Linked DNA regions of Tribolium castaneum. The protein of the gene in region 2 interacts with the protein of the main gene of each other region in a pairwise test. Links are inferred from orthologs where the notes say so. Each region holds a gene or a part of one and is shown on either strand. Other genes may lie near its edges. The genes, in order: Rap1, Raf and Ras85D.

Region 1 (4,176 bases), on a different chromosome or scaffold from region 2:
CCTTTTAATGAACACATATTTTACGATACGAGGAATTTCCTTCTTGCAATTTTTATTAAACATAACTGTATTCATTCTTACCTTGATTAAGCCAGAAATATTAAGCGATACTACGAAATTAATTAAAGCAGAAATGAGTTATTTATTTTATACAAAGAATTACTTTATTAAAGTCGTTTCGCTTGGCGTTTAAAAACACATAAATAAGGGTTGTTTCTTGACATTTCCTTTCACAAAAAATTTGTGAACGAGTGATCTGTTTGCGGGAGCTCACATCCAAGCAGGTTTGCAATATTTTTTACCGTAAAGCTTGTTTGGGCACTGACATTATTGTCAAATAGGTTTTTACATAATTTGTTTTTTATTTAAAATCAGACTAGTCTAAAAATTTTGTCTATAAAACTGAGGGATTTAAAAAAGACTGTCTTTACAAAAAAGGTAAGTAAACGTCTGATTGTTATTAAATACCACGTAATCATTTGAATTTATCATTAGAGTATGCTGTAATAGATTTTTAACATACTGATCGAGCTGAAGGGACAAATAATAAAATTTCGAATAGTAATATTCAGTTAGGATACATATTTTTCTCTTAATTTGCACCAGTTTATCAAATACAAAGAAAAAAACTGCCTACTTCCTCCTCTATAAATTTAAATGATCGCATGGTATTAATCATTTATTCTATACATCTCGAATTTATACCCTAAATATAATTTATGAGAAGCCGGTTTTTCGAGGTGTTACGTCTTTAATTTTTAATTGAACACGTTTTGTGCCTAAGCTATGCATTTTACGAAAAAACTAATTAGTACATTAGTAAATATTTTAAAAATACGATCATTTATGAAGATTTTTTTTTGCGAAATTTCAAAACTCTAAATTTTTTCTTCAATTGGTTTTGGAGGTACAAGGTTAACTTGTTTTTTTTTTTAATAATACGACTGGTAGATTAATATTTATTAATATTCATTGATTTGAGATTCATTTAATAAGATAATTTATGTAATTAGTATTTTGGGAATTGCTGTTTTTCTTGTGATGGTGGAAATATATCTCAGAGTTATTGTATAATTAAAAAGATATATTATTTTTTTTAATTACGTAACCAAACTTTTTTGGGAATTGGTGTTTCTGTTGTAATGGTGGATACATCCTTCAAAGGATTTTGATTTATAAAGGGTTTGTTCAAAAATAATAACAAGTTTTCGATTTTTGAGTTTATTTATTATATAATAAAAAAGATATGAATTCTGGAATTATGTAACAAAACTTTTGGGAAGTGCTGGTCTGTGGCTTTGGTGTTGGTGGTGGCCTCTCTGTTGCGAGTGTGGAACTCTCGTTGCGTTTTCCTGTCTTATCGACCGTTCTTGTCTCGGGTGCGGCATGGTGGCATGCGCTTGGTGAAACGAAGGGGTGAAGGGGGAGCAGGGAGCAGAGTAATTGCCATTGCCAGCAGCTCCAGCTATACGCTATATCTATAGCTAAAGCTAATACACCTACCATCAACTACCAACGGCATCGCCCGATCCTGAAATAACGGTGTTTAGCCCACGGTAAGTTTCCCATTTTCATGTAAATCACGCCCAACTCCTCCCAGAGCACCCTTGAGAGTATGAGCATATCCTTGAAAAGGCAATGCCGTAAAAAACTGAAATAGTTTCACCTAGTGAGTATTTGTTGAAGCGTTGAGCCATGACAGTGTAAATTGAAGTGGTTTCGGGCCGTTCTGACGTTAAAACCGAAAACGGAGTGCAGTGGACGAACCTGTGACCGGAAGCGGCACCGCGGTGGCCCCAGGAGCTGGACACCCAATGTATGTATCGTGAGTTGTGACAGGGGGCGCAAATCCCGCCTAATTAGCCCCGATTCGTAGAATTGTTTGCAAATCTGCATGGATTGATCACTAGGTGTCTGCTCCATGTGCGCTAGCATCCTGTTGGGTTGTGGTTAACCACCGAGATTAGGCCGCTTTCGTAGTTTCGCTTACTCACAACCGCCCGGAATTCGGCGATTTATCTTCACTCGATTTTCGTTACAGATAGACTGAAGTTTTTGTGCAACTGGGAAAATGCGTGAATACAAGATCGTCGTTTTGGGGTCCGGGGGTGTAGGGAAATCGGCACTCACCGTGCAATTTGTACAAGGAATCTTCGTCGAGAAATACGACCCTACTATTGAAGATAGCTATAGGAAACAAGTCGAAGTCGATGGGCAACAGTGCATGCTTGAAATTTTAGACACAGCAGGCACAGTATGTCCCACATTCCGCCTCTCATAAACACTGCATTTCGAAAAATTGTTTTAGGAGCAATTCACGGCGATGAGGGATTTATATATGAAAAACGGGCAAGGTTTTGTTTTGGTTTATTCAATTACAGCACAATCAACATTTAATGATCTACAAGACCTCCGGGAACAAATTCTCAGAGTCAAGGTACATTCAATTTAATTGCAATTAATTACACACACTTTAAAACCGATGACTAATTGCCTCTAAGGTCACTATTTAGTTCACGTCACACGTAAACACGCTCTTTTAGATGCTAAAATTTGCGACAAAAACCGAATTTATTGCATATGTATCAATCCATATCAATGTTACATTCATTATCAAAATAAAACCCAAGGTCAACATGAGATTGATCACTATTTATGTTACGTTTCTAATCTACATATTGGAAAAGTTGACCTGCTTTATTACTCATTTCCACCCTTCCACCTATTAACACGTCGTTGTTTTATATTTTTAACTCCTTCAGGTTCACTTCACACATGTAAGCAATACTTTTACCACTCATAACTCTTATTATTACGTTTTTTACATCTGCACATGTGTAGAGGTCATTGATCAGCACCTATTTTATTTTACATGACAAAATTTACATAAAAGCTTCGTTTAATGATAAACAGAATATAATCTACTGATAATGCAAATATACAGGCAACTTCCGGCTAATGCTTCCATATTTTGTGTACCACTTTTTCGCGTCAGTAATTATCTAATTTTTTTCGTAAACTGCGTAACTAACTGGCATTTTATTTAGTATTTAGTTGTTTTCATACAATGAAAATTATTAATTCTCGATTATTACCATGGGCCACTTTTTCTTCGTAACAGTGGGAGTTGTTATCGCTAAATTGATTGTTACATCTATTTTTCTGTTTTTATTTGATTATTTTTTACTTATTTATTACACTGTTCAACAAGTTTACATTTTTCTTCTCTTCATTAAAAGAAAGAGTGCATAGTTTGGTATTTTTGGCCAGCATACAATTCTATAAAAATATCTTGTTTGTTTTTTTAATAACTTAGTTTTTTGAACAAGAAATTTTTAATAAAGTTGTGCAATCGTGCATCACCAAAATTAGTTTGAATTGCGGTGCAAAATACAAAAAGTGTTATGTGAATGAGCTAGTTAGGGTCAGTTGTAGAGTTTTGTTTTTGTTTGTCAGGACACCGATGATGTTCCGATGGTGTTAGTGGGAAATAAGTGTGATCTGGAAGAGGAAAGAGTGGTAGGCAAAGAACAAGGAAACAACCTATCGCGCCAGTTCAACTGTGCCTTCATGGAAACCTCTGCCAAAGCTAAAATAAATGTTGTTGATGTGAGTATTGTGCTGCGTGTCGGATTGTGCAGTGTTTTAACGCTGTGTATTGTTTTAGATATTTTATGATCTAGTTCGACAAATCAACAAAAAATCACCTGAGAAAAAACAAAAGCAGAAAAAGAAACCGATTTGTGTGCTTCTATAAAAATGTAATGATTTGGAACCAAAAAGTACATTTAATGATTTCAAAGACAATTGTAAGACAAAGTGTGTAAGCGTGAAGGCAAGTGCGGACGTGGAGAGCTTCTTCCAGTGAAGGGTAGTTAAAGTCCTGTATATTCTTTTTATTAAATATTTAAGTATTTGTATTTGTAATTAATTATAAAATATATGTCAGTTAAATTTCTCCAAAATCAAGGTTGTTATTGACTCTAGATGCAATTCTATTTAGTGATAGAGTATTTTGAAATCTACTGCCAATTTTGTGGTGTCAAATAGGGATAGCGATGTGTGAATCAGTGAGCCAAGACTAGTGACGGGACAATACTTCTCTGACCACAGCGTTTTAGGGTGTTTTATATTCCTACATAGAATAAGCCTAGTTAACAGGTTGGGTTTCTCATT
Region 2 (4,329 bases):
TTGCATTAAATAATGTTCAACTTATAAAATTGGTTTTTATTTTTTATCACGTATGCTTTGAAAAAATTTAAAAAAGAAATAGTGCGTTGTATTGCTTGCGAAAAAGGCTTTCATACGAGGTGTCACTTGGCATACCATTAACATTTGAACAAGAAGTTAGAGGTGGCTGTGCATTTCTGACAGCAGATAAACAAAAACCATATGCATCAAATAGTAGGCAAGGAAACATAAAAATTGACCTGCTTCGGGAATTTTTACCAAAATCGCCTTAAATCAAAGTTATGATTTATATTCCAGCTGTATATTTTGCTTTAAGTAATCGTCTTTTACAAGATTGCAATGGAAGTTTTTCAACACTAGCTTAAATATCCTTATTAACTTTTAAAAGTTGTTATTATTAACGCACTATAAGTGAAGCGCATAAATCTGGCGAATCAAGAAATTAGTTTGTTTTATTAAAAACGGTAAACAGCTGGATTGAAAAGGCATAAGATTCATCGTAGCCGTGTTTATTTGAGCATGAATAAAGCCAGAGCGCATAGGTGTCGGTTGACTAATTACTGCAAATTGCTGTGAATTCAACGATCCAGTTTGTTTACGAACATTCGCAAAATGATTAAAATAACGTCGCGAGAAAATACTTCTCGTATTGCAAAAGGTAACGACGACAAATAATAATCGCAAATCTACTGTTGTTTTAGTAATTTGTATGACATTTTCAAAAATACGTAACATACTTAGTTGAATGTTCTAGTTGCACATGTTGATGGAAAAAATATCAAACTGAAAGCTGTATTAATTTGATTCATTAAAATGTTCCTAATTAGCAGCACGAGTTTATAAATCTGAGTTAAATTTACTCTAGATTGTTATGTAGCTATGCAGTATTGACATAAAAAGTGTCTTTATTTCATTTCTGCATTTTAATGTGCAAAAATTCAAAAAACTGAAAGCTGTATTAATTTGATTCATTAAAATTTTCCTAATTGGCAGCACGAGATTATAAATCCGAGTTAAATTTACTCTAGATTGGTATGTAGCTATGCAATATGAAAATAAAAAAGTGTGTTTACTTCATTTTAATGTGACAGAAAAAAAAAGAAAACACGGTAAAAAAAATTGGAAAAGTTGAAACAAAATAAAACACTTTCGTGACATGAAATTCTTTGGGAAATTTCATTGGTTATTTCTATTCTTCCTACTGGACTTTTCTTTGTATTTTCTTGTAATTCATCCTTGTTTTTTCTCTCTCTCTCTTCAGTCAGGCATATTTGAAAATATACAGCGTGCTCAAAAACTGGCGCACCAACTCAATGGTGTGTGGTAGATAAGTGGTTACATATAAAGGTAAAAGTAGTAAAAAAATTCTTTGTATTAAAGTTATTGATAAATAACTAATTTTAGGTAAATGATATGTGGCAACGTTGTCTAACAGTCATGATCGCAATAAAAATAAATTATTTTTGAAACGGTTTCCTAGGAAATAATTCCCAGTGTTGGCACATCTACAGATTGTGATTTTTTGGATGAAATTTAATTTTTTTAAATTAAAAAAACTGCTAAAATCTTATAGTAAATTTTAAAATAATTATTCATCGTTTTGTTACGGAACGATTACCTGGTGTGAAACATAAAAACATAAAAAAATAATGAAAACTAAAGAAGTTAACACAATAAGTTTGTAGCTCCAGATTTTTTAAAATATAACTTTAGCAATTTTTTCAACATTTTTCCCGTAATCTGCACTTGCTTCTCAATAACGTACCACTGAGTTGGTGCGCCAGTTTTTGAGCACCCTGTATTAATAAATCTAAGTTAAACAATAATAAATTACGCATTTTCTTTATTTTTTATAAAATAAATTCAAAGTTAATATCGGCATCAATTTAGATATCAATCGGTGGTGATAAAGCCATGGAATGTTTCAAATACATGAAAATCATGCAATAAACTTTAGATAAGAAAATGCATTGTGTTTTATTGTTTTCCAAAATGTTCCAAATGTTACATTTGGATTTGTATGACGAGAATATTCGCATTTTTTGGAGATTCTTCTCAATACAATTTTTGTTTGTTTTAACTTCTAGTGTTTTCTTTTTACTTTACGTCTTTGGAAGTTTGAATTTCTCTTTAATTTTTTTGAAAAATTGTTCGCTTTTTCGGAATTCGTCCTTTACAAAATCCCTGACTAGGTTTTTGTAATTTTTTTGAATTTGGCTTAATTTAGAAGTTTTTTCCTACGCAATTAAACAATGTGGAGTTATTTTTGAAAGTGTCGTAACATTCACTATTTGAATCTCGCAAAATTCCTGATTCTCCCTGGACTTTTTTTGTTTTGGAAATATTTATCGGAAGTTGGATGATTGCCGAATTTACTAAATAAACGTGGACTAGTCTGTGGCATTATCCAAAGTAAAATAAAGAAATGGAATGCAAAATTTTGCTTTTCGGAATGATTTGCTGCATTTTCTCCCATCCCTTGCGTTTTGACGTCGAACCAAAAATATCTCGCTTCCCCAGGTTCGTATGACGGACGCCTACTACCGGGCGCTCCTCGCCCGCTCTCCGGACTTCAGCGCGGGCATCCTGCACCCAGGTCAGGCCGGCCTGGGGCTCTCCCGCCAGCCGCGCCACCCTGGCACCCTCGGCCACCACGACCGCTCCAGCTCCGCCCCCAACGTCTGCCTCAACAACGTGAAGGGCCCCGGCGACGACTGCCCCAAGTCCCTCAGTCTGACCCGGGGCGGCATCGACGACGGCCTCCCCCACTACCACAGCACCCAGGCCTCGCCCACCGGCTCCCTCCAGCCGCGCCGACCCCGTGCTCGCTCCGCCGACGAGAGCAAGCCCCTCCTCGCCCCTCGCGAGAGCATCGAGGATTGGGAGATCCCCGCCGACGAGATCCTCGTCGGCCATCGGGTCGGCTCGGGCTCCTTCGGCACGGTCTACAAGGCCCATTGGCACGGCCCGGTCGCTGTCAAGACGCTCAACGTTAAAATACCAACGTTGGCACAACTGCAAGCCTTCAAGAACGAGGTGGCAGTACTGCGCAAAACGCGACACGTGAACATTTTATTGTTCATGGGGTGTGTTAGTAAGCCGCAGTTGGCGATCGTGACGCAATGGTGCGAGAGTTCGAGCTTGTACAAGCATCTCCACGTGCACGAGACGAAATTCGCGCTTTTTACTTTGATCGAAATCGGGAGACAAACGGCACAAGGAATGGACTACCTCCATGCGAAAAATATCATCCATCGAGATCTCAAATCGAATAATATTTTCCTACACGATGACCTAACCGTCAAAATCGGCGATTTCGGCTTAGCCACGGCCAAGATCCGTTGGTCGGGCTCCAAGCAGTTCCACCAGCCGACGGGGAGCATCCTCTGGATGGCGCCAGAAGTGATCCGGATGCAGGAGGACAACCCGTACAGCTTCCAGTCGGACGTTTACGCGTTCGGGATCGTTATGTTCGAGATGTTGGCAATGCAATTGCCCTACTCCCACATCAACAACAAGGACCAAATCCTGTTCATGGTGGGGAGGGGGTACCTCAAACCAGACATGAGTAAACTACGCTCCGACACACCCAAAGCTTTAAGACGACTCACTGAAGACTGTATCAAGTTCAATCGGGACGAGAGACCGCTTTTCAGGCAGATTCATGCCTCGTTGGAGGGACTTTTGAGGAGTCATCCGAAAATTAACAGATCGGCGTCCGAACCGAACATGAATCGGACGCAGATCCAGTCTGATGATTTTATTTATCCGTGTGCTAGTCCGAAAACACCGGTGGCGTTCGGACCGTCGAGTTTTTTTTATTCGGGAGGAACGGGTAATATCTGAGGGGAGGGCGCCAAGAGGGACGTTTAGGACGAGTGAGAGTGCGTGATACGGCTTGAGTAGAGGTTATCATTAAGTTATTGTCAAGTATTTAAATTTAAATATTGTTTTGTTTTCGTATTAAATAAATTCTTAAAAAAATATACTGCGTTTACTTATTTCCATCCCATCCTACGAAATTCGAAGATTCTGAAAATCTATCTTTGCTTTCCAAATTCAGTGTTCCAACCTTTGACTGGACTGAAAAGTCAAGACTTTGGAAACTTTTTGTTGAAATCCGAAAAAAAACTGATAAAATTTTCGATTCAATTTTATTTCGTATTCCTGGTTTTGGACCAGGGTACAGAATTTAAGTTTCAAATTAAATAAGTTCATAAAACTGTAGTGATTGTTTTTTCTTATTTGGATTATTTCCTGTCTCCCCATTAAAAACATGTTGAATAATGTTTGTCGCAACAGTAAATACGATTTTCTGACTGATCATTA
Region 3 (3,980 bases), on a different chromosome or scaffold from region 2:
TAACTGGTGGAGCTGGGAATGTTGTAGGTGTAGTTGCTGGGGCCCACCATGGGATAAGCGGGCGTTGAGTAGTTGGGTTTAGATTCTTCTCCTTTTAAAACTTGCGCTAGCTCTTCCAAATCATTGATTGACTTTAGCTCCATGTTGTCGAAGGGGCTCGAAGTGTCCGCCTCGAAGTCGGAGATATTGAACGGACTTTTGTCCGTCTGGCTCCCGGACGAGACGGGGGTCAGGACAGTGGAGTAGGTTTTGACAGGCATTAACATTGATTGGTTTTGTTGGTAACATTGACTAGGGCTTGAAACTTCGATCTCTTCTTCTAGCTGATAATCGGTCTGCTCGTCTTGCCGCTTTTTCTCCTCTCTCGCTTTCTCTAGTCTCTCGTTTAACTGCTGGAACATCACAGATCGCGCGGTCCTCCACTCCTTCATTTTCTCTATTACAGTCTTTTCTAAAACAAACTCGTAATGCGGGATCGTATCTTGGATTTGCTTGTTTAAAGTGAGTCTTTGTGCGTAGGACATTGCCAGGCCTATCCGTGGAGGGGGCTTGTACTTTTCGGATATCTTCACTCGGACGTTGTCCATGGAACCGCCGGGGGTTTCTTGCTGTTTGTTCGACATTGTCACAACTGTCGGGGGATCGCCTTACATGACAATTTTTTCAAGGAGATTACTCACCTTAACCTTACACAACTGGGACACTTTTCCGAATTTCAGGAGCTAACAACACAGAAGTTACATCGTTAAGTAAAGGAAAGGCGCGGTTTTGATTCGTCCTGCTTGCAGAAAATCAACTTCGAGTAATTAATAACATTAAAATTAATTCTTTACGAATATTTTTTATCTTTGTCATCTGATGACATATTGGCTTTAGGGGATTTGGGCCGTTGGCCACACTACACAATGCTCACAGAGGTGGGCAAAATAGAGAGACCCTTCTCGACTTTGACAACGAATAAAAATTCGAACCTATCGTATAACTCACGTTTTTGTGGATTCTATGCAATAAAATTTGTTCGTGAGGGGTTTAGACCATGTTATGGTGCGTCGTTTCTAGGCGTTTGGGGTACAAAAGAGTGGTTGACGTTGTTTACGTCTGTGGTGATGCTATGATGGGTGGGTTGTGAAGCTGAAGGTGTGTTGGCAGCATTGTTTAGTAGTGCATTTGACGGTCTTGATAACTTTTGTTACTCTTTCGTTCTTGATTACAATTAATTAGAGTAATTTACTGGGCATACGAGTGTTCTTAATTGCTTCAGTTTAAATGTGTGCTGTGTTGATTTTATTATGCTGGGATAACGAATAAGAAGACCTGCATAGCCTGCAAAAATTAATAAAAAAAATTAAAAACCGTGTGCTTCTTGGTATTTTCGTTTGCTTAGCCGTTTTGGTATTTTCTACATAAAATGACTGAATACAAACTAGTAGTAGTTGGAGCAGGTGGTGTCGGCAAATCAGCTTTGACCATACAATTAATCCAAAATCACTTCGTCGACGAATACGACCCTACCATTGAAGACTCCTATCGAAAACAAGTAGTCATCGATGGGGAAACGTGTTTACTGGATATTTTGGATACGGCAGGACAGGAAGAATACAGTGCCATGCGAGACCAGTACATGAGGACAGGGGAAGGTTTCCTTTTGGTTTTCGCCGTTAATTCAGCTAAAAGTTTCGAAGACATTGGAACATACAGGGAACAAATTAAAAGGGTTAAAGATGCCGAAGTCGTACCAATGGTACTCGTAGGAAACAAATGCGACCTCACTTCGTGGGCTGTAGACATGAACCAAGCCAGAGAGGTAAAATTCTCACTAAACCAGACACCTGGCGCCTAAACAAACCAATTGTTCTAACGTGTTTTTAAGACAACAAAAATCACACATTTATAGCAATTGAGTAGGTTTCCTCATTCAAAATACGTCAATAGGTGTTGGTGAAAGAGGAATGCAAAAACAAATGATTGATGCTGATGACTCACTAATATGTTTATATCACAGGAAAGAAATTAAGTAAATATTTCTACCAAATCTTATTATTATCTGAGCCGAGTGGTTTATTTAAGAACATTCCACTTGTTTTTCCCATTTATCCACCTTCCTGGATAGTAGGTTCCTGTAATTTGACTCTCGCTGTTGCTTAGCAACTGATACAGGGTGACTCATGGTTGGGCGAGTGTATCTTGATTTTTTCTTTCTAGCAGGAGTTAAAGTAATCTTCGATCTACTCAAAATATCACATAAAATAGCTTTTTTCTCGATATTTCTTCATTATAAAAATGCGAATTTTGTTTAGGTGGCGCGGCAGTACGGGATCCCGTTCGTGGAGACGTCGGCGAAGACCAGGATGGGTGTGGACGAGGCATTTTACACGTTAGTTAGAGAAATACGTAAGGACAAAACGAGAAGCGGTAAACGCCAGCACAGGTACATCGGCGGCCACGGTCGTGTTCCTTTTAAGTTGCGATGCACCATCCTTTAAGACAGACTCATCGTTTCGATGACCAGCAAAAAAATTTAAAAAAATGGGATCGTGTTTTGCTTCGCATTTTTCTCCTCTGTGAAAGTGTGATAGTGTAAAAAGTAATAGGGGGGAGCGACGCTTCACTCTTCTCCCCCGATTGTTATATCATTTGACAATTCGTGTGCGTGTTTCCATAATTCCAGTGTGCGAAAATGTGTAAGAGGAAGCTTATGAAAGAAGTTTTTTTATGTACCACGTTTTGCTTTTAGTTCAAGTGTGTCTTTTCTGCTCAGTATATTCTTACTTGTCGATTCTTAAATTTGCTGTAAATACTTTTTAGATATTATATTGAAAAAGCTTCGGAAACATTTTTCGTCTCTTTGCACAAATTTTTGTTTTAAAGAGGATAAATACACGGTTTTATATATGTCAGATATTAAAATTTTATATGTATATTCTGAATGTGATGTATATTTTATTGATAGTTTTATTTAGTTCTGACGAGAAATTTGTACAGTTGCGCAACATTTTTGGCGAGAAAAGTTGATATTAAGATTATTGTTTCTAACGGATTTCCTTTTAATTATGTAATATCTCAGGAATAGCATATCATGTATAGTTTGCGCACAAATTTGTATGTGCCTCAAAGAGAACTCGTTCTCTTCGTTTTTTGTTGATATTAATGTAGTTATCCTCTTTAATGAGAATTTTTTGTCATGTTTCTGGATACGATGAATAAACTAATCGCTCATCTGCCTCCCAATTGAACCAGTTCGTTTTGTTTTCGTTTTATTCCTCGTATTCTGGCATAAAGTATAGTTAACTTCAAGCAATGATCAATCGTTAAAGAAATATAACCAAGTTTAAGCTTAATCTTGGTCTTGACATGTTATTCCCCGTTTTTTCATATGAGATTTTTCTTAATGTTCTACTAATCTAGTTTTAATTTTGCCTTCATATATTATACAAAAAGAAGAAAAAACAAAATAAAAATATATGTAGCAATTTAGTTTATAGATATGTCTACTAAAATTCTCTTATTAATAAAATGTTAAATATTTACACACCTCGTTTTATTCAACAACTTTATTGAAAACTATAGACCCAAGAAAAAACCTACAGTTAAAATATAGCAGTGCACCTTATTAATTAAACAAAAAGAACACAAACAAACTGATCAAGGCAAAGATAGTGGGCGGAAGTATTGACGGCAATACAACGCGATCGTACTCAGAGGTTTATCTTGGGGCTCAAACTGTCTATTATTCCTTTCAGTCGCACGATAATAAGCCGCACTGTATTGTTTATCAAACGCATTCAAGTCGATATGACTCCTCCCCAGCGCTTTACACGCCAGAAACAAGATGTCGCGATAAATCGAAATCCGGTTTTTCCCCTGATGCGGACCGTGTGACTCACGCTCCGACGCCAAGTTCTTCAAAGGCTCCGCCAGGTCGTTGAGCCGAATACTGACGATCACTTTCTGCATAAACCTGCAACAACCCAGCCACTAAA

The links.
Region 1: the proteins of Raf (region 2) and Rap1 interact in a two-hybrid assay, tested with the Drosophila melanogaster proteins (2 studies listed by BioGRID). The link is inferred for Tribolium castaneum from reciprocal best matches to the Drosophila melanogaster genes Raf and Rap1.
Region 3: the proteins of Raf (region 2) and Ras85D interact in a two-hybrid assay, tested with the Drosophila melanogaster proteins (2 studies listed by BioGRID). The link is inferred for Tribolium castaneum from reciprocal best matches to the Drosophila melanogaster genes Raf and Ras85D.

The regions. Positions count from the first base shown.
Region 1 is NC_087403.1:4,584,609-4,588,784, forward strand, and holds the start of Rap1 (ras-related protein Rap1), read left to right. Parts: upstream 1-1,363; 5' UTR 1,364-1,556; intron 1,557-1,670; exon of another isoform or gene 1,671-1,816; intron 1,817-2,041; exon of another isoform or gene 2,042-2,045; 5' UTR 2,046-2,071; coding exon 2,072-2,254; intron 2,255-2,308; coding exon 2,309-2,437; intron 2,438-3,456; coding exon 3,457-3,609; intron 3,610-3,667; coding exon 3,668-3,757; 3' UTR 3,758-4,176. UniProt on the Drosophila melanogaster protein: Ras proteins bind GDP/GTP and possess intrinsic GTPase activity. Plays a role in photoreceptor cell determination.
Region 2 is NC_087400.1:7,671,127-7,675,455, forward strand, and holds the end of Raf (raf homolog serine/threonine-protein kinase Raf), read left to right. Parts: intron 1-2,520; coding exon 2,521-3,846; 3' UTR 3,847-3,986; downstream 3,987-4,329.
Region 3 is NC_087397.1:5,188,454-5,192,433, reverse strand, and holds Ras85D (ras-like protein 1), read left to right. Parts: upstream 1-1,170; 5' UTR 1,171-1,408; coding exon 1,409-1,804; intron 1,805-2,297; coding exon 2,298-2,483; 3' UTR 2,484-3,527; downstream 3,528-3,980. Other genes in the region: uncharacterized protein LOC663430, read right to left, coding at 1-623; DENN domain-containing protein Crag, read right to left, coding at 3,643-3,958. UniProt on the Drosophila melanogaster protein: Ras proteins bind GDP/GTP and possess intrinsic GTPase activity. Plays a role in eye development by regulating cell growth, survival of postmitotic ommatidial cells and differentiation of photoreceptor cells.